Struthio camelus: one gene and its partner. The protein of the gene in region 2 interacts with the protein of the main gene of each other region in a biochemical or structural test. Links are inferred from orthologs where the notes say so. Each region holds a gene or a part of one and is shown on either strand. Other genes may lie near its edges. The genes, in order: CASQ2 and TRDN.

The links.
Region 1: the proteins of TRDN (region 2) and CASQ2 form a complex in vitro, tested with the Homo sapiens proteins (3 studies listed by BioGRID). The link is inferred for Struthio camelus from reciprocal best matches to the Homo sapiens genes TRDN and CASQ2.

The regions. Positions count from the first base shown.
Region 1 is NC_090942.1:93,687,939-93,704,008, reverse strand, and holds the start of CASQ2 (calsequestrin-2), read right to left. Parts: upstream 5,781-16,070; 5' UTR 5,293-5,780; coding exon 5,059-5,292; intron 1-5,058. UniProt on the Homo sapiens protein: Calsequestrin is a high-capacity, moderate affinity, calcium-binding protein and thus acts as an internal calcium store in muscle. Calcium ions are bound by clusters of acidic residues at the protein surface, especially at the interface between subunits.
Region 2 is NC_090944.1:67,505,854-67,521,418, forward strand, and holds the start of TRDN (triadin), read right to left. Parts: upstream 5,667-15,565; 5' UTR 5,488-5,666; coding exon 5,466-5,487; intron 1-5,465. UniProt on the Homo sapiens protein: Contributes to the regulation of lumenal Ca2+ release via the sarcoplasmic reticulum calcium release channels RYR1 and RYR2, a key step in triggering skeletal and heart muscle contraction.

The DNA of each region.
Region 1 (16,070 bases), on a different chromosome or scaffold from region 2:
CATGTCCTTTTCTAACATCTAATCAAACTGGTTTGTGCCAGGGCAGTTCTCCATGAAATTTCAGCCCAGGGACACTGTTGCATTGAAGGGCCATTTAAGCACAGAGGAGAGGAATGGAGACAATGATCTGCATTGCAGGCAGCCTGCTCTGCTAGTGAGACAACCTCAGTTGCTGGAGAGAGCTTTCCATGTTCAAAAGTAAAGCCTCTAATCTCACTGCTCGTTATTATTACATGGTTCCTAGAGGCAAGGGCTGGCTCTCTGGAAGGAGAAACTATTCCAGTAACTGTGAAGGGTTCAGAGGTGAGAGGAAGAGAGGACAAGATCTGAGAAGTGATGGTGTGAGACAAGAGGAAACGTGGTAGGAGAGCTAGGAAGGACAAGAGAAGCTGAACAGATACTTCTCAGCTTCACTCTTTTGGTCTCCTCTTTTGCCCCTTTTCAGTTAAAGCTGAGACTTCTTCAGGACAAGCTTTTTTTTTTTCCTTGTCTCTTAAATCGCAGAATCACATAACAGTATAGTAAGTAGTATAAATAGTAAATTTGTATTGCAAAGCCTTGTCTCTGGCTGTGTCATCTGCTGCTTCGTTGTGCTCGCTCTGCAGGGCATGCAGGACCCTTGTAAACATTGCCACAGAGTAGGATAGCTACTGCTAGCTCTGCGACTGCCTAGTTCAACCTCTTGCACTGCCCTGTGGGGAGACCTTTCCCCATTCAAGCTATTCAGTGCTATTCAGTAGTTGGTGGGGCAGAGTAGAGGGTTGGGAGAAGGGAAAGCAAAGGAAAAGAGCCCTTTCATCTGAATTGTGCATCAGCCCGCGCTTGTGTAGGCCACGCTGTCTCTGTCCTGGAGTTGCTGTCATTTTACAAAGTCTCCCCATGCTGGCCACTAGGCAGCTGCATCTCCAAACATTGCTTTGACTATTTTCCCTATCGACTAGCTTGACAGCCCCTGGCTTTCCTACCCGCCACCTGAGGGGCTGGCACTGCTATCCTTGGAGCTGTTGCCATGCGCAAAGGTTGGTGCCAAGAAGCTGCTGTTGCTGCTCCCAGAGGGGCTCAGTTGCCCCAGGGCCTTGTTATCACCAGGCAGCAGCTAGCAGAGGTGGTGGAAGGAGCTGCTGTGGGGGCTCCCTGCCAGTCTCTACCTGGGAGGAAGGCTTGTTGCCTCAGCAGGAGTCCTTTCCCTTCCTAAACTGGAAAGGGACCCTAGACTGCGTGGGAATCCAGTGATGGATCCCAGTATACATGGGTGTGGGGAGCTGAAGACTGGGTGAGCTGTCCCATTGGTGGTCAGGTAGTCAGGTGAATGATGGCATCCCTTTTCTGGAGATGTCTGGTGTCCAGCCAGTACTTTTGGCAAGGGCAGTCCAGCAAGCTGGGCTTCTGTTGTGGGAAGGACTTAGAGGAAATTTTTGCTATTTTAACAAACGAATGGAGTGCTCAGGCTTGGACATATGCTTTTCTTAAGCAAGTCTCTCATAGGCCTGAAGCTCATCATGTCAGGCCTGCGTGCTGTCAGGCTGTGCCAAGTCTTCACAAAAGCTGCACTATGGCTTCTGGGGAAAATATTATTTCTTCTCACTCTGCTTTTTGTAGTTCCAGTTTGACAAAGTCCTTAAATATGTGCTTAATTTTACTGATGTGCTGTCTGGTTTTCAGCCTGATTTCCTAAGGAAATGAGGCCCTTGTTATTCTGCATGCTCGTGCTCTCCCTCTCCAGTCTGTCTGTCAGTTACCTCCGCTAATAATTTTTCAAGCTATTAGTCCATTTCAGCCAAATCTTACAGAGGCAGAAGTCTTAAATATGATTAAGTTCTTGCAAGCTTCATGAAGAGCAGGAACTTGGAAAGGAAAGGACTAAAGTGCCCTGAATAAAGGAAACGTTGCTACATGAGCTCAACCCTTGTTAGACTCCAGAGAACCCGCATAAGAGAGTCTCATGGGTTTCTCTTGGGAACGCACACATTTCAAGGGAAACCATGCTCACAGTGAAGAGACAATTTCCTCCTGGAGCGGAGGAGTGTCTGTCAAAGTCTATCTTGCCCTTAGGTGCTTTGTAGCTGTGGCTTTTCTCACATGCTGAAGCCTAAATCAGTGGTTGGATCTAGAGTTGAACTGGTAGGCACTGCTGGTACTTTTGCTGTGCAACATGCCATGCCATCTACTATCTGGACACATCTGGACGTTTCTGCTGGCATATGTGCAGGTACTTGGGCATCAGATCTCTCCTGTTCTTTTCTTGGCATCTATGATGTTTCCCGAGGCCTTTGATCTTCTGTTTTTATAATCATAAATTACTTATAAGGGGCTTAATGACTTGGTATGCATGTGAGAGAAACAGAAAGGGTGGACTATTTGGGGGCTTTTTGGACTTAACATCCATTAAAGTCATTGTCTTCTGTGCGTGCAATCACTCACGCTCTTCAAGAAATAGCAACAACCCTCAACCACCCACATCAGAGCTTTGCCTAGCTCCGCACCTGGCTGGGTTTTGGTCGAAGACTCCCTCTTATTCCTAGTGAGGGAGGTCAGTGCCGCTTTATGGAAGGGAAACTAAAGACGTAAATGTTTTCCAGGCTGTGGAAGCAGCACGTCCCATTGTGAGTCAGCAGGTAAATTCTCTGTGCAGTAAGATGGAAAAACATTAGATTCTCCCGAAAGGTGTCTTACCACAGCCAGCCCTCAAGTCAGTTGGCAGGGAACACCAAGGGCTTGAGTGTTTGCCTCTTAGACACCTTATTTCAGGATCAAAGGGCCTTCCTTAACTGAGCATTCAAGACACTGGACCCTTCCCTGAAAATAGACACATAAGGCCTTCCTTGAGTGAGGAGCACCAGCCAACTCTTTCCAAATGTGACTGGAAATTGAGGCCCTCTCAATACTACTGTGCCTAACCAGCAGCTCAGTATTCAAAGTATGTGCTCGAGTTATGGTAGGTCTGTGTTCAATTTCTGACGGCCTCCAAGGAGATTGATCCAAGGTATTTCATCTCCCAGGTGAATGACTTCACACCTCAGCCACAGAGCCACTGTAGCCGTTTCTTTCCCTCTCACTGGTCTGGTGAATACATGTGAAGTCAAACAGTGCTGGATGAGCTCCAGCAGGAGAGATGAGTGATCCCCAATGCACAATAACAGTGCGGCTTGGTGGCCAAACTGCCTCCTGGGAGGTGAGGCTTTGAGCTCTGTCACAAGGAGTGGATTAAAACCTGGCTTGCCCACACCATTCATGAGCGCTCTGATGGCTGAGTTAACCCGGAAATTGGGAGCTCCAGCATCTTGCTGGGCTGTGTCCTTTGTAGGATTTTGTCTCTTAGGTGCCTTCTGAGACCATCTCGCAGTCCAATTCCCTTAGGTGACATAGGCAAAGGGGTACTGTCTGTAGACTGCTGTTGTGCTTGGGCTATGAAATTGCTGCTGTGGCTCCCAGTCCAGGGAAGACTGAAACTTTGAGATGTGCACTGAGTCAGCATTGCAAGTGCTTGGGAAATTTTGAGGTTAAATCCACAAGTGCCAGTAGGTGTATGCCATGGTCAGCTGGTAGCTGAGCATTAGCGAATTGGAACATGACAATTATGTAAAATCTGCTGTGGATCTAACCCCTAATCTCTTGCCCAGATAGACTTCTGCTAAGAAGTCTATAGCAGAGAGGTGATTGGAAACCAAATCTCCAGAGTCCTTCCTAAGCTAACGTATACACTGCAGAATCAAACCCCACGAAACAAAAGCTTTAACTCATATAGTACTACAATCATTGCACCGTTGATACGGCTAATTGTTAACATGGGTATACTTGTCATGAGTATAATCTATAGGACGCAACATACCCGCTTCTGTCATGATTCTATAAATATGTATTTAGTAACTGCTTGCCATATATGTAGTACAAAATAAGTACCCTATTAAATAATAATGCAATTATACTAGCAGGCATAAACACTTCAAGGGAGTCCCAGGGTTATCTTTTCTTTTCTTTGCCAAATGCTAGTTGAGCATTCACCTGGAGCAATTAACTGTTTCCTGACAGGTGAATAAAATCTAGTTAGTTCTGAAATCTTTCTTGTTATTAAGCTTGCTGAGGGGGTCAGCAGATCTTGAACTTGGCATTGGACTTTTTTAGGTCCTAGCCCTCAGGAAGAATGTTTTTGAATCCACAATTGCTGTTCTTATAGGAGTGCAATGCATTCTTTCCCTGGATCAGAATAATAAAGTTTATGTATTTCTTTTGCAGTTCTCTCTCTTTCCAAATGCCTCTTTTAGTTAGGAGGGAATGTTCCTAAGCATCTGGTAGGAAGTGAACCCCTAACAATCCAGGCTTTATGCTGTGTGATCTCCTAGATTGCAGCTACGCTATAAGAAAGAATGCTATGAATCTACTTTGTAGTTTTTACTGTGATTTATTTTACTGAGGACTACTTCATCATTCTTCTGCCAAATAATTAACAATACTTTTCTCCAGCACCAAAGTGAGTGATTGCATTAACAAGCAGCTACAGACTGATTCCAAGTAGGCAACTGAGTGTCAGGAAAAACAGAAAACGGATTTAGTGTTGCACCAGCTGGGACTTTTTGAGAAGGGGAGCTAGGACGCCCTTTTGCAGCACAGTTTAATAAGGGCTTCTTGGCTGATTGCTCCTAGCGGGATAGAAAATGGGACTGAATCCAGAATACAAGGGGAGGGGGAACTGGCTTGCATAAACTGAGAAGAGATCTAAAAATTTCAAGCTCCATACTCAGATCTGTGTGCAGACTTAGAAAAGCTCAGTTGGTCTGGGTTTGTATTGCTGAGGTTTACAAGGTTATTTGGTTTTGCCTGGGATTCTGACCTACGATCCAGAGGGGCTATTTCCCTGCAAACGATTAAGAGCAGTGCAATAAAGGCCTTTTTGGGGGGCTTCACAGAACCCCAGGGCTAACTCAAACTCAGGTAAACACCCAAACCTTTGGACGCTCCCCCCCGGCATGATCCTTTGACTGTCCTTTCCCACGGCTCCTCTCCACAGCTCCAAAGGGTGCTGTGGTATTGATCCTTGCTGAGACATGCACCGGTGCTTACCTCCAGGACCATCTCTGTCATCTGGAACTGCTTCTGGGAGACTTTGTCAGAGCCCACAGGCTCATGGAAGAGCAGGCAGAGCATGTCGTACTTCTTCAGGGCCTGCTTGTAGTTCTTCTCGTTCAGGTCGATCACTCGGTCTTTCCCATCATAAGTGGGGAAATTAAGTCCTTCTTCTGCCTTGCAGCAGAAAAGCAGGTAAAAACCTGCCAGAATCCAGCAAGTTGCCTTCATAGGGAAACCTCTGGAGCGGAGCAGAAGGCAGGTGAATGTCTCTTCTATCTATTTGGAAAGAGAGGGAGACCAAAGACCCCAGGTAAAGTTTGAACCGCGTTTCTCTGTCTTCTGCCTTCCTAATGATCAGTCCAAACTCTGCAAGGTTGGTGGGAAGCAGCAAACTTTGCAGTCCTGGGCTCAAAACAAAGAGACAGACAGGAGAAGCTGTCAGGCCAAGCCCTGGATACCTTACATAGCTGTGTCCGGCTCCCGTGTCATTAGGAACTCCATTTTTAGGAAGCAGTTGTTTCAGGCTAAAAATAAACCCTGCAATGAATAAAAAGGACAGATATGACACTATTGAGGGACTTGCTGGCACTCTGCAGCATCTGAGCAAGAGGGAGTGAGTGAGAGGCAGTGAGTGAGTGGAGGATGTCGACGCTGGGACTATGCAGGCAGGTTTTATGAAGGGACAGGCTTCACTTGTACAGAGAATTAAGGCACAATCTGCCCTACTAGGACTTAACAAAAATAGAAGATTTTTACTGTGTTTTATAATAAAGGTGTCTTTCTTTGTAACCACTTGGGCATTGCAGTGATTAGGCATGGATAGCGGATCTTGGATTAAATGATTTAAGAGACTGCATCACTAGAGGCAAAGACACATTTCCTCAGGCAGCAAAGGAGGTGAGAGCTCATGGGACTCCCTTCTCCTCCTGGGGCAGCAGCCAGTGCTGCTTGCTTAAATTCAAGTTGTTTTCTGAAGTGCTCTCTCTGCTTGCGGGGTAGTAGGAGAATTTCTGGCACGTGAACCTTCTTCTCCCAGCTGTAATCCCAAAGCAGATGGAGGGTTACGTTGCAACCTTCCATGCCCAGAGCAGTTACCAAGCCCCAAACTCTGTATAAGTAGTTAAAGCTTTGTTATGCTGAAGGCAAGAGGGGCAGGAGGCGGTGGCACACACTCTTGCAGGTGGCTTGGGGCAGTGGGCAGGGATCTCCTCAGGACAGTGGACAGGTGCTGCTGTCCCTGTGGGCCTCCCAGCCTCTGTGACCTGCCTGATGTGTTTGTCACACAGCTCCATTGAGTTTACTAGCAAGTGATTCCTCATATTCCCTCCCTTTTCGTTGCCCAAGAACAGCAACCAGTAAATTCCTTCTTTTCCTTGGGACCACGTTCCTGAGGTCTCCCCCTAATTCCCCAGGGTCTCAGGTCTACTTACTGCTTTCCTTCTTCACCTGCATCAAGCTGCTGAGGGAGAATGGTTTGACAGCGGAGTCTTTCATGCCTTCCTCTCCTCTGACATGCGTGTCATCACTGCCCCATTACTGGCAGCAATGGGGATGTAGAAGCAGGCCTGCTGGCTGCAGGTCAGCGCCGACAACCGGGGGGTGACATTGATCTGCTGGAGAAAGTATTCTGAGGAGGTGGCAAAGCAGAGTTTGACAAGGGGCATGGGTGTCTCCTGTACTGAACTGAGGTGCAGACACATGGGTTTACTAGACCTCCTCATGGTGCCCAGCCTTGTGTGTTGCTCCATAACACCTTTGCTCTGTCCACTCCGAAAAAAAGATGATCTCTCTTCCTGGTGCATACCGCTCTTGCCCCATCCAGCTCTTCCCATTTAATTGCATGGCTGGGAGATTCCTGTATTAGTTTGGAACAAAAGGTGAGTGCTACTGAACAATTATGGCTCTCTTCTGAGTGACATAGGAGCACATATCCCCCTTAGCTTCCACTAGCAACATGAACAGCCCATGACATGCTGACTGAAACTTAGTGCAAAAAGTTCAATGTCTAACTTGTCTCCAACACCCCTTTGCAATTTCTGGCCATGCTTTTTCATAGGCTTAACATATTTCTGTGATTTGATGTCCTAATGATAAAGCTTGAGAAAGCTGAGAAAGGAGTGGTTATTTTTAGAGGAGATGGGATGAACCTAGGATAAAACTAATTGTTTTAGTGGTTGCTGCAAGACTCTCATCACAATGGGTGACAATGACTTGATAGACGCTTGCTGAATGCTTAGGCTGTAAAACGTGGAACTGAGATTGTGGGATGATCGGGCACACATCAGGTTGGTTGCTTATCTTTGAATAACTTAATGCATTGAGGTGCAGGAATAAGCTTCCACTGGCATCACAGTGTGTTTGAAATCAGACACACATCAGATAGTGCTTTAAGAATGGAACATTCACAGGTACTTCAAAATCAGCTTCCCAGACTCCTGCCCTCCTTTTATTTTTGTAGATCTTTAGCAATTGCTCCATTTTCATATCACTTAAGCTATTTTTAATGTGCTATCTCTAGTCTTTTTAATCTGTCTTAAAATAGACATAATCTAATTTTCATTTTCTCCTCTTTTTGCTATCGGAAAAATCACCAAAAGGATTTTTTTAATTGACAAGAAGTGTTGATTTGTTAGCCCCGAATCATCTATTTAAATCATCTGTTTAATCTGTCTGTAGTACGAGTCGCAAAGATCTCTCACTGTTAGGCTTCACCTATGTCCTGAAGGGAGTTCCTCTAGCAGAACGACATTGGATGTCATGGTCAACAGAGAGTACATCTCTTTGTCTCTGCTCAGAACCTTAGTGGTTCTTAGTGGGATTGTTTATGCTAATTCCAGGGGACATTTTCTGTACTCTTTTAGTTTTAGCTGCATTCAGTTGAAATTCAGGATACCTTGTTCCCTAGTAAGTGGCTTACGTGTCTGTATGCTTCTCAGGAGGTAGAGTTTACGTGTTTGACTTAGAAAGGAACGAACCTGTGAAGAGAATCAGGATAAATTCCTCAAAATCTGAACAACAGTCTCAATCACCTTAATTTTTTAATTCTTACGAAGTGGAGCTTTAATCAAAGCAGATGTTCTCCTTGTAATCTTGCAGGTACAGATCTGAATTGAAATCCCAGATTCATGAGTTCTGGGGTGTTCAGGACAGAAGTACTTGAGTCTAATACAGAGCTCCTTATTTGCCTGGAAACCTATAGGATGCCAATAGCAGAGCTGAGACTGAAACAGAATCTCCCATACTCTGACAAAGGCCCCAAGTACTGTTTTCGTCTCTTCATCTGACCTCTCTGGGTCTTGACAGCAGCCTACTGAGTCATGCTCATCTCAGCCCCGAAAGCAAACCTCTTCAGGAGTTCAAAGCTGTCCATCTGAGTTCAGACAGTGTTTTAGACCGGGAATTTTGGGATAGACTTGCTGTCAAGAAAAAGATAGGGTGTAGACTTCACGGATCTGGGGAACCAGGGTTTTGTTGAAGGCTCATTTCTACAGGATGCTGACATAACGTTTCTCTGTATGCTAGATCCTCTCTTGCAGAGTAGGAGTAATAGCAGTTCCCCATGGAAGGGGAGGATGGAGTGGGACAGCTACTCTGTCAAGTCTTGGATTTTGCATTCACAGGATCATTACAAATGCTTCATGCTATCCTCCTGCATAGTTCGAGGTCTTCCTCTGCCCATGGCTGCCCGTGGTTGCAACACTTCAAGTTCTGTGGCTAGTGACATGCAAGGGAATGGTGTTGTCAGTGCTGTGCCTCGCAACGCTTGCCTCCCAGCTCAGATAGCTCATTCCCTAGCAAAGCTGGAGTCCAGCAGTCTCTGCCATAAGTTGATTGCAAGGCTCAACCTCCTGACTCCAACTCCTTAACCAATACACTTCAATCATTCTGTTACGGCACCTCTTAGTTTCATGTCCTGCTTCAAGAAATTGAAACAATGCTCTTCCCCAGCTAACCATCCCAGAGCCTTCCACCTGGAAGCTCTCTTAGCAAAAGAGAGGGAAAAAGAGAGAATTGAAGGAGAAACTTGCTGTGGCTTTATCCACTATTCTAAGTTTTTGGGGGCATATTCAGTGAGAAAAAAATCCTGGCTCCACGGAACTTGGCTGGAAAACTTTCCCTGAGAGTTGAGATAAATTAAAATCCTAACTCAATAAAATTCTATTTCTTTGAAATTTTTGATGATAGGTAGCCAGCAATAGTTATAGAATAGGACTGCTCAAAATAGGATAGTCTTAGGCCTTCACTTCAGACTTGCAGAAGTGCAGGGTGCCTGATAGGGAAGTAGAATAAATAATGATCTCCTCCTTGTTGGTTTTTTTTCCAATTTATACTAGAAATTGGGGATATACACTGGCTGCTCCAGCCTCCTTGCTGCTCCAGCTATATTCCTCACTGCTGTTCTCACCTTCGTTGTCCTCTTTAGCCCACATAGCAAAAGAACTCCCCAGCCACTGCTGATCCAAATGCTTTGGTGAGCCTTTTTCCAGGGCTTCAGGATTTAAGGTTCTGCTTATGCTAATCTCTTTTCAAGCTTCTAAGACCTTGCATGTTTTGCAAGATAGGAATATCCAGAAAATATGCCTTTTACTAGCAGCTGGACTCATTACCAGGGCTGTAGCTAGCCAAGTAAGGTCACAGTTTGTAATAACTTGTAGAATATTGCTGTCGTTAGGACAGGAGCATCAGAGAAACACTGAGTCTTTCTGAGGAGACAGAGAGATTCATTATCATCTCACAGAAACTTCTGCGGTGCAAGAAAACCTCATTCTCTCTCCACCCCTTCCCTTCAACCCTGACTGAAAGGGTTGAAAGGCGACAAGCCTTTCAAGGTGCTTTACACTGCCTGCACTCTGATGCAGTCACGTCAGTGATGGCAAGTACAAGCAGTTGGATCATTCTTTCCTTTTTTTCCTGTTTTAAGATGCCAGGTATCTTTGCAAATAGGGCCTGATGACACTTTGTATATTTTGACCAAGGTGTCCTGGGACCTATAGTGTGATGAGAAGATGCTATAATCCCTCCTGTTTTTGACATACAGACATGTTTTTGGATGAGGAAAATAAAATGCAGTGCAGACAAAAGCACTTATGCAAAATTATATAGAAATTGTAAAGGGAAGGTCAACAAGATGACACAGGAGTTCTGGCTCACACAGAGCCACATAGGGTTGCTACTTATTGACATGTCAAAGTAGTGTCTCTTTTAGACACCTTGTCACTCACAGTGAAGTTGCTTTGTGCTACTTTATAGGGATTGTTGTGCTTCTCTGTCTTTGGAAATTGGTTTGGGACAAGCATCTTATGCAGGTCAGAAAGTAGTTTAGAAGGTGCCCTGGTCAAAAAGTGCCCTGGGCTGTCCCAGAAGGATTGAGATTGTCACCTCCTAATGGGTTATAAACCTTACAGAGCAAGGAGGATTTTATCTCAGACACCACCTGGGGCCAAATGGAAATGGACCCAGCGGCATGGATGAAAACAGGTGGGAAGGAGAGCAATAAAGTGAAAAGGAAAAGCATATGGAGAAGCGCTGGGAAGCAGAAAAGGCTTAATCTTCATGGAGAGTCCTAGAGAGGCCTTATATTTGGCATGAGTGCAGGGCTGCACTTAGGTGTCCCATTTCTCCCTGTACTTCTGTCTGCAAGAACTCCCATCTCCTAGGGTGGAGTAACCGGCACCGTGCCTAAGGAAGGTGGACCCAGATTTATTCACTGTGTCACCAACGGAATAGGGCTTGTATCACTGCAGAGCCCAAGCCCCCTGTTTGCATGTTGTTGCCTCTGCGGGAGTGGGCATAGGGAAGCTATGTTTGTAGCTGTGCTGATCCAATTAAGCAATGACTTCTTGGATCCCCAGGAAGGCAGATTTGTTTGGGCAAATGACTTGGCTTTGGAAAAGACTTTTGAGCAGGTATCTGGCCTTCTGGCTCTTCCTAACCTGCAAAGAAGGAGATTTAACTTTGCCACAGCCCGGTTAGTAAAATCCTCCCCTCACTTGTAAGGGCCCTAGTGCGCTGGGGTCCTACAAACGTCCTGCAGAGCTCTGCTGATCACACTATGCTAAACTAGCCCAGCAAGAGACCCAGCCCACGCTGCTGCCAGAAATGGCTTCTTTACCCACCTTCTCTTCTGCAGCACCTGGGAGCGAGGAAGAGGTGTGACACATATTTAGTGCTGGGGCTTTCAACCTTTTTTTGATTTATGAACCCCTAAAATCATTCCAGTGTCAGTGCAGATCCCTGCATAATAAGTTTAAGTTGACTGATGAGAGACCTTTTCTCCTCAGATACCTCTGACACACCCTGTTTCAGAAAAACTCCTGTGCCACAAGCTGAAAAACTCTCCTCTAGACAAATAACATGGCAATGGGAACAGAGCATGCTTGTCCCACAAAAACCCTCTCAAATTTCTTGTGAAATTACTACTCTTATCTTGAGTAGTGTACAGTTTACCCCTCTCATTTATCTTGCTCCATTGCCCTTCCTTCTTCTCCTTCCTCTGTGTCTCCCTTCTCACCCCACCCTTTTTTGTGTCACATATAACAATTGAGGAGCTAAAGCAGCAACTTAAACACAAGATAGGCAGGGACCAGAATCTCCTTTCCAGTGGAAAGGCACCGGCATGTGCCCTAGCAGGAGGGTGCTTCAGGAGTAGGGGAAGATGGCCGAGGGTGGCAGATGGTCATTCAAGTTTTCTACTGCTACAGGCTTCCCAGGTGACTTTGGAAAAGTCCATCTGTGTCTCAGTTCTCTATGCAGATAGCACGGCTCTGAACAGCAGGGTCAGGTGAAGGTAGCTGGGTTCGAGGTGCTTGGACATTAGACTGCTGGTGGTTGGTGCTGTAGGCAGGCTGAGAGCACGGGCCAGGTCCAGGTTCCTGAAGGATTTGGTGAGTCACAGAGCTGGTGGAGGGGAAGCAACTGCTACTGGCTACGTTTACAGCAGAGCTGGTTCAGAAATCTGGCCACACATGTTACTGAGAGAGATGCTGACGACTGAGCTCTGGGGAATTGCTGCAAAAACCAAGTGGCCAAGAGCCAAGCCCTGAACCTCCCTGAAAGCTAGGCCCAAAGCTGGTATCCTGAGAGCAGGGGTGTGAATGGATTTAGGCTGAGCTCTGGCCCAAGGAGCCCAGGAAATTTCTAAAACTAGCTTAGGCTAGACCCTAAGAAACCACCACATGGCTTAACATCGTGTGTTCTCTTTTGGAAACCCTTAGGCCGCACATAGACCAATCTAGCCATTTCCCTCTGGTTCTCTGCCTTTTTCTTGGAGGAGAGGGAATCACTGGACTCACGCCTAGCTTCACCTCCCACCTGTGCTCAGTCCAGCAGGAGGAGACAACAGGATAAGTTAATGCATGCGTTAACTGCTAGTGCTGCTTCAACTCAGCCCTCCAGGGGCAGGGTCTGAAACGATGATCCTGCACCCGGCAGTGCTGAGCTGGCCCGGTCTGGGATGCCGTTCTCACCTTGGGTTTCTCTGTGTTCCCTCAGCCACGAAAGTGCCGATATATTTAATACGGTTCTGAGGATCAGATGGGACGGTGGGGTTTTAATTTAGCAGCGTGGCTTTTTCTGCTGCTGACGGAGCTGTGCCAAGCAGATTTACACCTGTTGCGCTACAATTGCAGCTCTGCTCTCCTGCACTCCCCTGCTCCTGTCCTCCTGTGCTGCCTTTTAAAACCACCCTCCCTCCTTGCCTGGAGCAGCCAGAGACCGTGACGTCTGCCGGGTTTCGCTGGGTGCAGCTGGCAGGGTCAGGGAAGCGTTGGAGTGATCTCACTATGTCACCAGGAATTTCATTCCATTTTGATGATGAGCTGGCCAAGCTTAGCGCTCTCTTTAATTTGGTAAGGTGATAGAACAGATTTACTGCTCTTGAATTTCTGCTCTGTTTTGACCTCTCTCTTCTCTAACTGGACTTAGTACAGTCTGGGGTAGCCTTGAATCTCTCTAAAAAGTCTATTGGCACCTGTCAGGCATGCGTATTTCTAGGGTGAATAGCTTTCCAAACAGTTTCAATGTCTTGCAGTCAGGTCTATGGCTATAGTCAGGTCTATGCAGCACGGACTATGGCTTGAAGCAAATGTAGGCATATGGTTTTTTATGTTGGGCAATTTTTTAATTCAAATTCTTCTATGTGCATAAGCCCTCCTGGCAGCAAAACCACCAGAGATACTGGTGGGATACAGTTACATAGCATTTCCAGGGATTTAGAAGTAATGACTCAGGTATCTCCTTCTCTCAGATCAGTAAGTCAGCCTAGAAATCAGGAGATCAGAGGAGTGTCTAGCTTGGGATTTTTTTTTTTTTTTCCTGGCATGGTAGCTCCAGAATTCCCCTGCTCAAGCTTTTCTCTGCAGCCACAAAACATAGAAAAAAGCTTCTCTATTTTAAATGGAAGCTGAAATGTTTGAGTAGTAGCATGAATCCTGTAGCCAGGGAAGACTATGATAATCACAAACTACATGATAATATGGTGAAAGCTAGCAACGAGATGGAGACCCTGCACAAAATGAGACTCTTCTGGGATAGCTGAAAACTGATGTTGCATTTGATGGTGAGAAGAGGCATGTCTCTGCCCTACTGAAAACGAGCTGCTGCCAGCAATTGAGGGTGCTTAGCAGCCTTCTGGCTGGAGGACGCATTTCACAATGCCTTTTGAATCTTTTTGCGGCTCTCCTTAGATGCTGCCACCTGCGCTTGAAGTAACACTGGCGTGTGTTGCTCAGGTCTCTTTTCATACTGGGACACTATTTCTGAGTTTCATGATTTTGTGTGAAGCTAGTAATCACAGTGCTCACACTGCCAGCAGGTTGTTCTGCGGGTGCAGAAACCCAACCAGGATCTAGAGGCCCCTGGAAGGGCAAAACACGAGTCCACCGTGGAGGCAGAGGCTGAGAGGACCCATGGTGTGTGTCTGTCCATCCAGCTTCCTCAGTTCCCTTCGTAGGACCTGGGAACCGACCTCGTCTCTTCTCTACCACGCTGGCACAGCCCGCGCTGTGGGTGAGATGGGGGCCTCAGCAGGCACCCTGGCTGCAGTCCAGCTGCATGACAGGCTGGCTCCCTGCTGAGCTGCTTTTCTTTGGCGGGGCAGGCAGAAAGGGGGGCATGAGGAGGATGTGAGGATGCTCCTGTGGGCCCCCGAGTCTAGGTGACCATAGAGCCTGCTGCAGACTGTGCCACAGGGACAGCATAATCAGCAATAGCTGTTGGCACGCACCTGTCAGGACTCACACACTGCACATGAAACTGTATAGTTGTTTCCTGCCACTGCTGCCTTATAGCTGGCCTATAAGTCAAGTGCTTGCAGGGCTCTTCCTTGGCCTCTCCTGCCAGCTGTGACCCTGCCTGCCTGGCCTTTTGTCCCTGTCTGCTGTGGGAGGCTGGGAAGTGGAGGAAACTTTGCAGGGTTGAATGCTCAGAGGAGTCCTGCTAGAAGGAAGAGACCCCAGCAGCAGCTTCCTGCCCCAGCCCTTCCCCATGACACCATGAGAAACCAAAAGCAAGAGGTCAGGCAGCTAGTGCTTTACAGGAGAAAAGGCAGTAGCTGTGTCTCTCCAAGCCTGGGGCTAGGAAGACATTGTGCTAGAGCATGGCTTTGCTTTTCCTTCTAACCTGAGGTCGCTTGCTAAGCACTATCTGGCAGCCCCCCAAGCTGCAGACTGGGCCATGGCATGCATAACGGGCTCCTGGGGTCGTTTGTTATTTATAACACTCGCCTTCCCTGTGGTGTGCCAGCTAGCAGAGGTCAGCTATCCACTGGGCGCAGGGGAGTCATAAAACGCATGGCACAGGGTGTTCTGCTGTTTCCATCCCCGTGTGCCAAGCGGCCTCCCCCCTGTCAGCAGATCTCCCTAGACATTGCTGTGTCGGGGGCACGGCAGACTGGGCCAGTGGGGAAAGGGCGATGGGTCGAAGGGAGTGCACAGGAGCATGTTTTTGGCTTCTAGTGTAAGCTCTAGGAGGTGTGTGGCTCTTTCTAGTAGCACAGGGAAAGTGTGAGCTACTACAGCCCTGTGGGAGACAGTTTATATCCAGGCAGGAGAAGGGTCTTCTCCTTCAGGTGCATGTTAGTTGGCACTTCTGGTAAAGGAGGATTTCAAAGCCTGGGACCTGGCTCCTCCAGTGTATAGATGGTTACAGCTGGACTCAGAGTTCTCTAGGTTCATCAGTGATGGCTTTGGACTTGTGAGTACAGCTGCTGGCTGTACAACATGGCACTCCCCAGGTGAAGCTGCACTGAAGAGGGCATATTAGACCACTGGATGCCAGCCAGTGGCCAATGTTCCAGTACTCCTCATGGTTTTACAGGGGCGGCAAAGTATGGCATTGCTCCCAATATGCTCCTTACTGAGTGCTGTAGCCTGAGGGCTAGTGAAGGTTGCGGACCCCTGAGTTGGGACATTTTGGTAGGCGGTAGATACAGGTCAGGTTGGAGAGGATGATGGGTTTTAGGTAAGAAGTGAGGTTATACCCAGATGGTGGTTCTTCAGTCCCTTCGGTCTCACAGCATACATACTGTCTTGAGGACCAGCACTGCAAACTCCGCTCTTCCACCTCTCTCTGGAGCTGTAAGTTGTGGCTGTGTGCGTGGATCATCTACTCGCTGAGGGCTGTAACCAAGCTCCTATGGAGCTCCCCAGATTTGCACATGTGGATATCCGGGAAAGCAATGAAGTAATTTGATCCGGAGTTCATGTCAGTTAGTGCAGTTAGGCAAATGTCATATGTGAAAAGAGGATCTAAAATGATCTAGCATAAGAGTTTATTCTCGGTTCTTACCAGCCAGCAGGAGGAAACAAAGGTAACTTTAAATTAGTAAACATAACTGATCCGCATTCTTCCTTAGTCAAGCTTTTTTTCTTGTCTTTCAGTTCCCTCCTCCCCCCTTTTTTTCTGTTTCAGTCTAATACTGGGAAAAAGATTCCAAGGAGGATTAAAAAGCTTTCCTAGTGCTCATGCTATCAGGGATATTTTGACAAAGATACAAATGCCTGGTTTGC
Region 2 (15,565 bases):
ACACATGCAAAAATGAGATTAAAACTGCTGTTTTGAAATCCAAGTTTCTTGTTTGCCGATTTAAATCATGATTAATATTGGTGATTCAAAAGGTTTTTCAGTCATTTGGATTTAAAACAATCCACCCTCTGCTGCTTTAAACATTATTTAAGCTAGTAAAATGAACACTGTCCGCTAGTTCAATCTGCTTAAACAGAGCAGAAACCAGCCAATATTAGCATCAAAAAGAAAAGGAAAGCTTCCTCACTTCTGTAAGCAGCTGACCTGCTTCAAAGAGGGCAGCTCTGGTTTCTCTGTCCTCAGTGCATCCTGGACTGAAGCCAGACCTGCATTGTGAAACATGTTTTAAACTAAACCAGTTACTGTTTTTCAGAGTGAAGCTCAGATTTTAAAGGCTCAATTTTGTTGTAAAAGTAGCATGAATTAGCCTCTTAGTCAGTGTTCTCATTGGAGGTAATGGGGGAAAAAAAAAAACACTCGAAACATTTATAGGCTAGATTTTTTCCAAGGCTTCAGGTAGCTGGAGGTACCTGAAGGCACTTCTGAGAATCTAACCAGTTACACAGATTTCATTTTGAAATCTGTGGGAACTAATTGCATCAATGCTTTGAAAATACTGCTAGACCTTTAAGTGTATTTCTTGTTATATAAGTAACCCTAAAAACCTGTTTCAAATACTTATGAGCACAAGGTCCTTTCAAAAAAAGTGAATACACGATCAGATCAGACCTACAATACAGCTGTTTGCACACAATAAGTGCACAAATGAACTGTGTGCACACACACTTCTTGCTCATTATGGGCTAGCATCACGACATACTAGCTTAAACCTCTGCTTTACAGGTTTTAAGACTCCCTGCTGTCTACAGCTAGCTTTCTTTCAAATGTGCTGCATAAGCTAATGATATTTTGGAGTTTCTCTGTACAATCTGAACATGCGTAGATATTGTACCAGCTGTGAGTAATAATGCCCCCAAATTTTTAAACTTCAGACTTAAGCTAACAAGTTTTACCTTGTGCTTGCTTGCCTGCACAGGCTAAGACATGCTGGCCAGCCTTGAGGGAACCTATTAAGTCAAACTAACCAGCTTAGGTGTCCACTTCACAGGCACAGGGGAATCCAAGTTTAATGGAATTTAAGTGAGAATTTCCAGCTTCTGTTCCTCTCAAAGATTTACCTTATTACGGGCAGTCCTGGGTTTTTTGACTTCATCTCTCCAAATAATTAGGCCATTGACTTGACCAGATACTTTCGAACAAGAGGAGACTAACTCCTTCAAAAAATCATTGCCCAAAATAACATGTGCCAATGGCACATCTTCCCTAACCCTTTGCAGGATCAAGGTGTACAATTTATTTCCCTATTAACATTTGAAGCCAAAAAAAGGCTAAAAGAAAACACCCCTTCATACTACAAAATTTAGTTTGAATAAATTCTGCAGTAACCTCCTAACCCAAGATTTAAACAACAATACAGCTGAAGACTAGGAAATGCTTTAGCTGATTTCAGCCATCAAAATGAATCATCTAATCTAGTTTATTCACCCAGGCCCCTTTTGTAGTCAGCAGAACTAGCACTTCTAGCAGCAATTCATGAATTCCCATGAGAAGTACCAAACTCCTTCCTGCCTATCGTGTGACTTTGCTCAACTTTTACCTACTGAAGACTGCTGTTAGCTTCTGGCCATTGCACTCATAAAATCTTTATAATTTTACCCTCTGGCTCTTGTATATTATTTCTCATACATTATCGGTTTCATCTGTATTAATCTTCAAGCATGCAGATCATGTTAAATCTGCCTTTTGAAACGTTTTACATCTTAAAACTTTTCATACTTATCAAATAGCCTGAGAAAAGGACTGAAATCCAGAAGCTAATTTTGATTTTGTCACTGACAGGCTGTGTATAGCCTCCGGGCTAGCCTGTCTCCTTACAATCTGCTCCGAGAAATAGGAAATGTGCAGTTGCATAGCTCTCAGCAACAAAATAAGGACCAAATTGTGACTCATTGTCACATTTCTGTTTGACTCCTTCTTCACTCTTGCTCCACTGGGGAAATAAGTTGTGTCAGACAAACAGCTGGCATAGAAACCTTGTCTTTCTCCTTTCCTCACCTCCCTGGATTAGATCAGTATGCAACCTCCAGAGCATTGCAGCAGGCAGAGCTAAGGCTCTGTTCATTGCGCCATGTGTAGGAGGATAAGTGCCAAGGGACAGCCATCAACCTTGCACTGTGACCTGCAGTAGATTTGGCTAGAAAAAACCAACTATAGGGCTCCTGCTGCTGCTATTGTGCACATACCGATTAAGCTGTACACTGGTAGAAGCCATTTCTCAGGGATGCCGGGCTTTTTACATTTGTATTGCAGTGATGGCAGTTCTAACTGCATGTGCCATTGAGTCCAATCCAAAGCCCACGCTCATAAACATAGCAGAGTAGCTGAGTTGGATGGCTGTGGTTTTCTAGGCATGCTCAAAGGTGGATCACAATGAAGTCCTTGGCCATTATGGAACACTCAATAACAGCTGAAGTTAATAATAGTAAAAATAATAATAACAACAAGAACAATAATAATAATAAAGCTCCTGAGAGTGTTGCAAAGAGGTAATACCTAATACCTGTACTGAGCTGCCATTTGTACTTAATTTTATGTGATTTCCCATGAAACATTTTCATAGTACTTTTCTGTCGTTGCAATTAAATGTAACATGAGGATACTGAAGAAAATCCTTAGGATTTTTTCTTCCTAAAATACTTATCACTTGGAGACCTAGGTCCTGCCAGCTTTCTGTGGATAAATTGTTATCTTCCCAGATCTTCTTTTGTTTTTTACCAGGTATACTTCACTAGTATATCTGATCACCAGGTAGTCTGTAGCTGTGATATCACGTAGATAGCACAGATGACTTGCAATTAAAATAGGTCAGGGTCATTGCTCAGTGGCTATGTCTTTAAGCTACTTGCTATCATTGTCATTACAGTGATGTTCACCTGAAAGAGCACCCTTTGTCCCCATGCAATCGTGGTATTTACATAGGCTGTTCGAAAAAGATACCTTGAGATCTGCATTGACTGTACCAGTCTGCCAGAGCTGGACCATCTCTCTCTAGATCTGCAGCCAGGCTGTGCACAGCAGTGTTAAGGTCCGCATGGCTTCAGGCACACTGGTCACTGTGCACTGCTCTCTGATATGTCGGTATGGTATCTCAAGGGGCAAGTAGTCTAACAGTCTGTCTGATGTGTGGCTAACAAAATAAAATAGGGATAAGAATACCTATCACAAGGAACAAGCAGTTTAATCCTAACAAAGCTATGAAGATCTCAGCAAATTGTAGATTAGAAGTAGTAATAGAAACAAAAAAAGGAAGAATAAAAAAGCCTTGTATGAAATGAGATATTTTAATTGTTTTTCTATTTGTCCCAGCTATGTGTTTGCCAAAGTTTAGATCTGAATTTTCAGACTACCGTGTAAGTGGCAGCAGTAGCCTCAGAGAAGAATAATCTGCAGTGAAACATTAGCCTCAGGCTGAATTTTTAGCTTTCTGCCATGGGTAAAATTTCCATCTCATGGATCCAGAGTTTAAAAATCAGCCAGTCAGCATAACTCCATTCCAAATATAAGAGAGAGAAAAAAAGAATTGTATTCTCTGGCTATGTTGACCTATCCTGCTGAAGGTCGGATTACTGCAGCACCAGTATATCCATTACCACCTGAAGTCTCTATTGCCTTGCACAGACAAAAGAGAGATTAAAGACACACAATATGACAGCTAAGGAACCTGTAAGCACAATCAGGACATCGTCAAACTATATGTTTTACTGATATATACAAAAATATGTATACATCTATTTTGTTTATATATATATATATGTACGTATATATAATTTAGGGGGTTTTATTTTCTCTTTTTCAATCAGCAAATCCAAGACGTAGCAGCACAGAACAGCTGTGTAGAGATATTCAGTGTAGCTAAGTGATTTACTTACTGAAAAGTCTTTTATGTTTGATATTAATTTTGGACTAAGAATCTTGCTAATTTTCATTTTTAATTAGGGTTCTCTAAAGATGGAGAACCTCCCAGGAGGCACCTCCACACAGTTTATCTAACACTGATGGAGTTAATGCACACACTTCAGAAGACAGATAGATAGAATTTCACAGATTTGCCTGATAACATCTACAAAACAAACAGTGTTTCCAGCAAATCAGGTTAAGAATAACCAAATAAACTAGTTGCTATCATTTGAATTAGGGCTGTCACACTGAGCCACCTGTTTGGCAGTATTTGCTGCCAGAAGTGAATTATAGATCCATGCAACTCCCGACCGAGAAAACAAACCCGTACCCACATCAGCTCTTTGCTGTGGCTAACTGGACATCAGGCAAGAACTGTGCGCAGTTTGACATAGTCTTAATATGAATCCTCTGGGAGAGAATGTTCAATCTGCTTAATGCAGATCATCTTACAAATATTAACAACGAAAAAAAGAAGATGAAAAGTACAACTTTCATACACTGAAACACCACATAACCTTGACAAGTGAAATAAAAATAACTTTCAGAACAATGTTTAAAATCCTTCTTTTTTTATATAGTGTCATTATCAAATTTGGATAAACAATGGCGTGACCCACACTGTTAACAACGGTTAGCATGAAATTCCATGAAAAAATTCAATATTAAATTTGCAGAAGGTTGCATTTTAAACATTTCCTCTGTCTGACTGTGGCTGATAAAATATTGTTACGCATCTAAAATGTTATTTAAATATGAATGGTCAGGAAATATTAAAGTACATGAAATATTCATATTTTATAAGATATATTTATTGGCTAATACAATTGCCTTTCACTCTTGTGGGCCTTGCTCTAGAGCACTTATTTCAGCAAAACTTTCACTGGCTCCCCTGGAAGTTTATCTGAATAAATATTGCAGTCCTGATAGCTTTTACCCTTCAGTAACTTTATGTACAGCTCACAAACATTCTGTGCTTCTATGGAAAAATCAGGGCCACCCAGCTCCCAAATTCTCATTTAGGAAAATCTCCTATTATAAGGGATGATCAGAGATTTACCTAAGTAAAGACTTGAGGATGGAACCGTGCGATTTTTCCCTTCTTGTATTACTCTCATGGAACTGCCTAAGCACCGTTGCTTTGCCTATGAAACTAATGCTATTTTTAGAGGTGTACAAAGATCTAGCTTCAGTAACTAGTATAAACTCTGGTTATAGGAGTGAAAAAGAAAAAAAGAAAAAAAAGAAAAAAGGGGGGAAAAAAAAAGAAAGACAAGGAAAAAGCAATCTGACAAACTAAATAAAATGACCCTACAGTAAAGTAAAATGACCCTACAGCAAAGGTGTTATTTTCTAAGAGCAACAAATCACATTGACACACTAGCTCAATTACACTGTCAAAATATATACAACTTTTGTTTAATTGTATTTGAAAGTAGTTACCGTACCTTCTGCTGTAATCTCGGCCATAATGATGATGGTAAGAGATACTCTGTTAGAAAGGTCAAGGTATATTGTGGCAGCTTAGATAAAACTTCTGGATTGCCGGCTCTTGCAGGAGTTGCAGAACAAAAAGGAAGGAGGTCCTTTGCTTTTTCTAATTCTGTTCCTTCTTCTTTTGTGCCCCTCTGAACTTTCTGTTTCCTCTGCAGACTCCAGCCCACCCAGAACAACCTAAGGCCTTCCAAAGGCAACGCACAGAGCTCAGTATCAGCTTCTAACAAAAATAGCCATGCCTCACAGTGAATCTTCAGCACATTTTTTCTAACATCCTAAGAACTTTTCACACGGTACATAAAAGTAAAAATACCCAGCTCCAAACAGGACAGGAAAGCATGGAAATGCAGCAAAAAGCAAAAGAAATGGGAAGAACTGTTTAGAGCTCCTGCAGCCTCCCTAACCTAATTACAGTTCTTTGGGGTGTATGTTAGGAAACATGAAACATAGAGTTCAAAGTAACCTTATCCATCTCAGCTCAACTTTATTCTTAGCACACTCAGTGCTTAGCACATTCTTCCCTGCCTTGTTTGGTTTGGGGAGGGTCTTATGAAGCTTACCACTGACTAAGGGGGAGGGTAAATTTAGGTAATTTTCTCCACTTCGATTCTTAGTCCTAGTTACAGGGCCAATAGAGACACTTATAAACATATAAATTTATAAAACTGGTAATTCTGGGGAGGTCAATTTTTTGATTCCCTTTTGATTTGCAATGATGACACATACCTTTGAAGTGCATCTAAGAATTAAAAATCACTGGTGAAAAAATAAATAGGAATAGTTTAGTTTTACTATAGTAATAGTTTAAATACTCTAAATGAGTCAAAGTAACATGAAAGAAAATATTAAGAAGATTAGATTTTTTTCCCAGGTCTAATTTACAGTAAAGACAAACTTGGTTAAAAAAAACACTGAGATTGTAAACAAAGTTTTCTAAAAGTGATAACAAGTAGCCTTTAACAAAAATTAGAGTAAAAAATAATTTAAGCAACAATAATAAATGAAAAACCTGAGCAATCTATTGATTGCATTTTTGCTTGCAATCCCACAGTTGTAAGATTAGTGCAAGAGCTTGAAAGTAAGATTAACTAAAAAGTGCCCTCGAGCCAGCATGCCTCTACATAAATGTCACCGTCACATGAAATCAGATGCCATCTTAAACAGTTCTGACTAGGGAACCTATAGTCAGCTCTTCTCCACTACATGGGCTGGCATTTGCACTTCTCATCTTCCCTGCAGGAGATAAAAGCACCTGGCTCTGTGGCAAAGGAGAGGAATCTGCTTATCCAGCGCATAAGATGCAGAAGGGAAGACTCAGTGAACAGAAGTTAATAGTCACCATCAGGATTTCTTTCACTGTAACCCACTTCCAATGCGTCACATGACTAAAAATGTAAAAAATAGCCATTTTCTAGCCAAAGCTTAGCATCAGTACTCCATCCCTTTTCTCCTTCAGCTCTGTTGAACAAATCTTTTGCTCTAACAGCTGTGGCTGCGCAATGCTCAGTGCTCAGTCCTATTCTCATTGTCCTCCTAGCCCTCCCTTTTTTCTTCTTTAGCCTAGGCCTGTCTTTCTGTGAAGATCCTCCTCATTGAGGCTGATGAGAACATTTTAGATAAAGCCTTATTCCTTCAGAAATGCTGTTTCATGAGTGCCTAAATGTTCTGTGGAATCATATGCACAGCAATAAACAGCACCCCACAATAGCTTAGTGGTTAGTAAACTGTGGTAAACTGTGTGATACTAAAGTAAAGCTCCTGTCCTTCTTAATTACTCTATTTTCTTCTGCTGGAGCATTTCCATTTTGCATGAACAATTAAATATTTTGGGTCATCTGTAGCTCCACAGCTAGGCTTGAGATGTGGGACATATCATCTCAGCTGATGCTGAGAGGACCAAGCACAAAGCAATCCATTACCCTGAAGTCAGGATTGCTTTCACATGTATTAACATATGAAGTGAAATAAAATAACAAAGGTTCAGTTTGGGTACATAAGGGGAGAAAATTGGGGATAATATCCAGAACTGAATTTTAGCTTTGCTTTTTGGTTACGTAGCAAGCTCCTGAGACCGTGGGCATCTATGCTTGTTTAATTGTATGTGTATGGTTTTGTGTCCCTCATTGTTTCCATTTTCAGCTCCTACCACGTGCCTTCTCGCCTCCATGCCTTACTTCCTTTACTGCTATTTTTTGCTCAACCCCCAGCCATAGGCTGATACTCTGAAACCAAAATATAAGAGCAGAGGAAGTGAGAGAATCCAACTGGACATTACTTTTCTGCACATCAGCCCAGCGGTCAGAGAGAGTGCTACTTGTTAATTTCTGTATCCCTTGCAGATGCAACAAATTCATTCTGGAAAGCAGGCTAAAGCTGTCATGCACAAATATCTTACAACAGACATAGATCTAGGCAACTGTATTGAGATTTACATAGTTGTTTACTCTTGGGGGGGGGAGGGGAGTCAGGAAAGCTATGTGTTATATTTACTGGAGACAATCACAACCTTTACAAAAATATGCCAGACTATGGTAAACAAAGTTCTGATTTTCATGTGCGTGCATGCATATATGTGCACTCACTTTCAGTAACAAATGTTACTTTCAGAAAATTATAGTGTTATGCTTTGTTCTGTAGGAGATTAAGGAAGGGAAATTCTCAAAATTAGGTTTAGGGCTCGTTAGAAGTTTTGTTAAAATCCGAAGTCTAGCTGCTGGCTCACTAGTCTATGAAATTCAAATTATGCAGAAGGCCAGCACAAAGTTTATATAGCTCTTCATCCCACAGAGTAAAGGTTAATTCCCTGGGTTAATTCCCTGACCTAGGTTACATATTGAAACTGACCCAGAATGCATATGAGTGGGAGCCTATCCTATCTAACTGGATGGAAATTTTGCCACTTTTGAAACATATCCTTCCTCTGTTCTTCTTCATATTATAAATGATAACAATAATGAAAAATTAAAAACTTTCCTTGGTTCTTTCAAGAGATGTCCAAACCTGGGCACATATAGAATTTCTTCCATCCGGTCTTAGTTACAAGATGAAAACAGTCTTGGCTCTGATCTTCAGGTAAGCAATAGGAACTCTCTTCCCACTCAAAGAAGCTACATCTTAAATAAACTGCCCCAGGATCGGATCTCAGATTCAGTGGTAATGGAGAGAGTTATAACAGAAGATTAATTTTGCCTCCTCATACAAGATTACAGAGCTATACAAGTCAGCGTGAAAGATCATAAAACGAACGTTCTCTTTACTCTCTAGCTGCCTGGATAGAGAGCAAGTAGCAATCTTGTACAAAAGAAAAATCTGAAGAGGAGAGTAAGGAAGTCGCTGCAGATGTCTGCATGTGACCATATGCCTTGATTTCAGGTAGTGTTGCATTTAAGTGAGAGTCTTAACTAAAAAATCAAAGAAAAATAATATCTTGAACATTTTATTTTAGGAAAAAGTCAGAGGTTTACTATCTGACAAGCTCTACTACTAACTCCCACTTTTAAATGACAAGTTATGTTGTTTAAATAATCAAAGTAGGAGTACACAAATCCTTTATGAGCTAATTTCTGGGTTGCCATGATGATATTGCTAAAAAAGGAATAGAGAAAGACAATAGATCGCATTAAATTATTAGGTAATGAGAGGAGAGACTTTCATACTGATTCAAGAAAATATTTCAGGGATTGGATAAAACTGTCTCTCAACAAGAAAATGCAGAACAATGTTTGAAGTTATCTGCTAACATGTTACTAAGAAAATCTAAGAGTTCAGTCCTACAAAATCAAACTAAGCAAAAGAAAAGCGTTTTGTATCTCAGTACACACTCAGCAGCACAGCAGGGTCAAGGAAAGGAATCTTATCTTTAACTCTGATATATCTAATGAATTCTAGGAGTATATTGTTATCAGAAAACAATCAGTAATCAACCGGTATAGGCTGAATATAGAAAGGAGATATACAGCTAGGGAGATGATGATTGGTACTCGATTTATGAATACCGGTGAAAGTAAAGATGCATGCAGAAGCGAAGAGGGAATTAGAGCGGTGTCTGTCACTGAGCTATCAGGAACATATGAAGAAAAATACTAATATTTGTTTGGTGCATTCACTAGTTTCCACTAAAAGAAATATTTTCCCTCCTTTTTTTTTGGTTCAGGAATGCTGCTACGTATAGACGTGACTTTCATTAAGTTCCCATTGGTAAGATCGTATGTTATTCTGTAGGAACAGGAGAAGAAATTCACATTCTGGTTCCCATGAAGCCTAATCAGTCACAGATGTAGTTCTTGTGACCTTCTATGGACCTTTACATGCTCTGAAATAATTCTCTTCATTCAGGTTGAAATGTCATGAATAACACTTGCAAGATTTTTGGCATCACCATGTAAGTAAGGCATATCCAAAGTGCAGATAGACCTAAATAAGACCTCGGTTTCACTTCTAATTTAGATTAAAGCTTGGCACAGGTTTAAACATTTTCATAAATCAGTCTGCATCATTTTTCACTGAGACAGTCACATACATAGTACCTTTAAACATTTTCTTCTTTAAAGTGTAGGAGAGAATTAGTTAAACTGCATGGTAAATTTGTCCTGCATGTAATGTGAACTATTGGCAGATGAATGTAGAATACAATTAAGAAGCCCCATCTCTGTAGGCAGACTGGTCTGAATTCAAATCAGTGTCTGCTTGGGGACAGCTGACAAGCACGCCAGGGTCATATCACCCTAACGCTCTGAGCTCATTAAAGGACATTTGACAGGTTAGGTTTCACAGAAAGAAATTACTCTTAAACTACATGATGGAAAGCTAGCAGGTATAAAATAAAATATCTACGACACTGACTATTCCTCCTCACTATAGACAATGCCCCCAATTAGATATTATGCTGCAAAATTGCTGTTGTAACCTCGGCCTAGATGTACAATTGAATAATGAACCATTTTTAACATCAGAAAAGACCCACCGATTACAAAACTATTTGAATTCCAGGAAGCGAGGATGTTGTAAGATACCCTTACTCCATCCTGCAAGCTGGCTGAGTAGAGAGTCAAAGGAGGGAAATTAGATTACAGCAGACCCTTTGCTTAGGAGTGTTTTTTCAATTTTATTTGCTCTAACTGTACTCCATATTACTATGAGTTAGGGTCAGGGAGGGCGTCTATTACAGCATATCAATGTAGACTATATTTGTATGAGCTTTAACAGTTTTGTATTATATAATGTTCCTTTAATTTGTTTTATTCTTGCAATTCTTAATTAATGTTGTTTTATTACAGTCCTTGTGGCTTTACATTCGTATTTGGGAAACTTCTCAGAGGCTGTCTCACAGATAACCTCTCTGATAGTGAAGAGGGGATATCTGAATCTGACCCTTTTTAGGAAGCAATGTCAAAAAGTGCACATTAATTGTCTTTTCCCTCAGGACAAGCCGTGTCCAAGGTTAATGGTGTACATACATAAGATAACAAGCAGCCAGCTAGTTAGTAGAGACATGGGTGAGCTCTGACATAACATTAATTACCTCAGACAGAAATATTGATTGAGATCTGTTCTAACATCCTAATGAACTTGGTGTACTGGCTGGCCAAAAAGTTCTTTCGAAGAAAAATCACTGTACATTCTGTGGCAAATTTTTGCTTGAGAACAGGAAAAGCTTTTCTAAAAAAATGACTGCTTGTTTGAAATTTTATTTAAATCAAGTTTCTGTGCTGAACTCATAGGACTTGGAAATACGTCACACAAAAGACATGTAGTAAAACATCTGAGCTTCTTCTGAGCGTCAAATTTCAGATCCAATTCCAAACCTCCACTGATATATGTTCAAGTTTGCCTCCAGACCTCTTTTTTAAAAAAGTTTCAATAGAAATCAGCATACAAAATATAATTCTTCAGATATACTGCATATTACAAAAAGCAGAAGAAAAGAAAAGCGATTTTAGAGAAAAGCCTAGTTGCACCTGTGTTAAAAGATAAAGACAAATACATATTCTCACGCTAAATACTTTTGAAAGAATATGGTAACCAACTAGTACTCCAAGTGTCTTCACTAATGAGAACCCGCTTTGGGATGTTGGAAACTATCGGCTGAGTCTGACCTTCATAACCAAGGGGAAACCTCACTTTTTTTTTTTTCCATTTTATGAGTTATCTTCCTGCTTGATATTTTATGTTATGTACTGTGTGCTCTTAGACACTGTGGAATTCCCACAGTCACATTAGCAAAGGATTCTCCTTCTAACCAACCCCAGTCCAAACCTCAGGAAGTCCTTCTGCATTTTGGCTCTTGCCAAGGCCTTTCTGTGAACAGTTAGGCACAGTGATATAGAAACCACTTCCAAGCTAAGCACCATTTGCTTGGAAAAAACAGCAGTAGCGTAGAAATAGGCTTAGACAAAGAACAATTATAAGTCGCAGTCCTTACTTCCAAGTTTAGGTAGGCTTTCTTATCCTAGACATCCCCTAGGTGCTACGGATGGTATCTCTAGGAGTGTTCTTGCAGACAGTGTGTCTCTGCTGTACTATTTTTAATGGCAGTTTTTTTTTTTTTTAACCGTTCCAAGGTTTCCCTTTGCCCTAGGACCTCAGAATCTGGTCGAGTCGTGCATTTCCACAGATTGGATAGATATCAGCTCCTGGCAGTAAATTCATGATTATATCTGGCTGAAAATCATTCTTTGAATCCTAAAATATGAAAGGCTGCAGCTGGAATTAACCCTTTATGTGTCACAAAGTCAGTTACCCACCCAGCAATACACAAACTTAAGATGCAAAATACTCAGGAAATATTGGCATCTGTTATTTGTCATAAGTATATAGAGCAACAGATACAGGAAAACGGAGAAAAAATATAAAGCAGGCAAAATATTTCAGTAGTTATCAACTATAGGAAAGAAATCACATGACAGCAACGAGATTTCTGAAAAGGTAGAGTCTAAAAGGAAAAATATGTTTTTTTTAACAGTAGCTACAATTTTTCTTTGGGTTTCTTCTTTCTTTCTGCCTCATTCTAGCCACAGTCTTGGACTGATCAAAGTCAGAATTGCAGATGAAGAACCCACATTATTATTATTATTATCATCATTATTATTATTATTAAAAGAAATCTAAACTGGGAGCTTTTCATTAGGCAATTTAGTCTTTTTATAGAGTGAGAGTGGAATGAAAGAATTAGTAAATTCAAACTTGTCTGTGCTGACAGCTGCGACTGCACTAAAAAAGTTTGTGCAAAAAATAAAGGATCTTTTAAAAGGAGAAATAACTTTGAGCATTAATGTCTTTACCACTCAGCGCAGCAGATATACTAATTTTCCTTGAATAGTACATCACCATTTGTCACTGCCAATCTTATTAGATTCCTGTCCAAGCTGCAACATATGTCCAAAGTCAACTTTCTAATGCAAACCATAAAGAATATTTGTCTGTAAAGCAGTTACCGAAAAGACTTGCTCCTTTTCCTTGCTCCTCCTCCTGTCTTCCTGAAATAGTAGAAAACAAATGCAGTAGAGTGCAACGGTCCTAAAGGGACAGTTCAGCCAAAATCAACCAAACGAATTTTTCCAAGTTCACAGTTTAAAGGAAAATAAAAACATTACCCCAGAGACCGAGAGCAGGAGATCCTCAGCCACAGCCACAGAGCTCAGAATGCAAGGCAAGGACATTGGGGACTTTTGGAAGCTCACGGCTGCATTCTCAGGGTCTGAGGAAACTCTGTGTAACTCTGGTACAACTGGCACAAAGTACAGCTGCCAAGGAACTGTTGGCAGTTGTTCCCTGTGGGGTGAAGAGGCTGTACAGCCTCAAGCAGCAGACTAATGCATTCGACTGCTGTGCCACTGTTAAGCAATCTAGACTGGGACATAAATATTTTCATTGTAAGGGGGATTTCACCTCAAGATAAAGGATTTTGTTTGAGATAATTTTATGAGTCTTGCAAAGAATCTCTAGTCTTTACTTGTATATTTTAAGTTCCTAGACACTTTTTGAAGTGTGCATTTGAGTATAAAATCCCACTTTATTTCCTGATATTTTCAAGATTTTCTCTCTCTGATCACTTGTAGCTCTTCCCCCTTCCTCAGCTAGCAGGTTAGTTAAGAACTGCTCAAGCTCATGAGTAGTGAAAGATTTTGTGAAACAACTGTACCTTGAATATTTGGATTGTACTTCATCTAACAGTGCTACTTTATAATGAACAAGGAAAAGTCATGTTTCCTTTCACTTAGATGGCAGATGACTGAAAGGGGAGGTTTTTTTCTCAATTCGAAAAAGAAAGCTAACTAAGGTTTTACTTAATTTCTATGGAAGGCAGATATAACAATAATCCTATGTCCCACATTTCAGAGCAACAAAAAAACCCGTTATCTATCATCTACTCTATAGATAAGAAATAAAGCACGACAGTTGGGGTAAAGTAACTCTGTGGTTCAGCTGCAACAGTAACAGAAGCAACACACCGTCAAAACTACACAAACACAGGGCTAGAAGTACATCCAGCCTGAACATGTGTTTTTCACACATCAGCAAATTCAAGCTAATGTTTGGGATCGTGAATATAACCTATATAATGCAAAGAGGTGCTTAATGAAAATGCGGGTACTGTGCAGTCCTGCGGTGAATAACGTGCTCAGGCAGAACAGGGCACGTAGGGAAATGTGTTTGTCACAGTCCATGTTATGGTCCCACGCCACTACCTTCACTGTTTGGCTTGACAAGCCTACTCTGAACATGTCATCACCCTATTTCCTCAATAGTGTTCATCAAATGAGTCTTTCTTACCCCACTCTTTCCATCATTACTTTTCTTTTCTTATTTAAAAAGCACCTGCATATTGGCACAATCGTGCCCAGCAGTGACTGGCAAGATCCTACAGGTCTTTTTAAATCACTCAGACTAATGTTCCCAGTTGTGATCTACTCTATACTAACATAAGAATCTGTGGAAATAAATTTGCTCCTATTCTTCTTTTCCTCCTAAAAGACTTCAGTCAACACATATTAGGAAGAAAGCAAAAGCTCTTTTGTCTCGTCTAGCCAAGCAGGGTGTATTAACCCTTTCACTGGTGTCAAAAGAAGCGGAGGATCAGCCACTTAAAGCCGGTGTTCCTGAAGTAAATTCATGTCCTGAATAGTCTGGGTTCTTTTCAAAAGTTTAATTTAAACACAATTGTCACTCCTAAGCACAAGGCAGTTGGAGGATATTAATATTCTCTTGAATTATTTAAAAGATATGACTAATGCTTCATATACTATAAGACTGTTATCTGCAAAAATAACATCTGTGTCAGTCATTGCTGGGCAGTTAGGATTTCATCCCTAGCATTTATCAGAATCTCTGAATCCAGGATGCAAGGGATTTCATCAGGTTACAAGTTCTTCATTACCTTCAGGTGTAAAACCCAACTTACAGCTTCTTTCTCATTATTCCTTTTGATCAGGGATGAATCAGACAAAGGTATGGAGATTCCTTCCTGAACAGAAACTCATATGAAAAGCTTAAAAATATTTCAGAAAGATTTCTGATAAACTATTTATTTTCACTGCCAAAGACTATGGCCTAGATTAGGTAGAGAGTCTGATGTGATTTACATCTTCTCTCAAGAAGGCAGGAATTGATCCTACAAAATTGTCATGAGTTCTGAAGAAGAGCAATAGTACGTAAAGAAATAGTTCAAGGAACTGAACTAAGTACATTCTTGAAAGATATTAACTAGGAAAAAAAAAAAAAAGAAAAGGAAAAAAATCTCACGGTTTATGCTAGGTAAATCCTCTTGTGGGACCGGTAATGCTGCCAGGAACATATAAAACATGATCTTCATTTGTACACCAGCAGTGAATCATTTTTCGGAGGAAAAATAAAAAGGACATTATAAAGTATGAAAAACAAATTCTATTTCCTTCAGTTATGGAAAAGCATCCCTGTCTCCCATGATATGTATGTGAGATCACATGCAGAATGTTTGGCTAGAGAAGTTGTTTCTGGTAATTATCAGTTCTGTTTGAAGAAGCAATTCATGAAAGAGATTGTTCTGCATTCTTCTACTTCCAAATGGGACAGC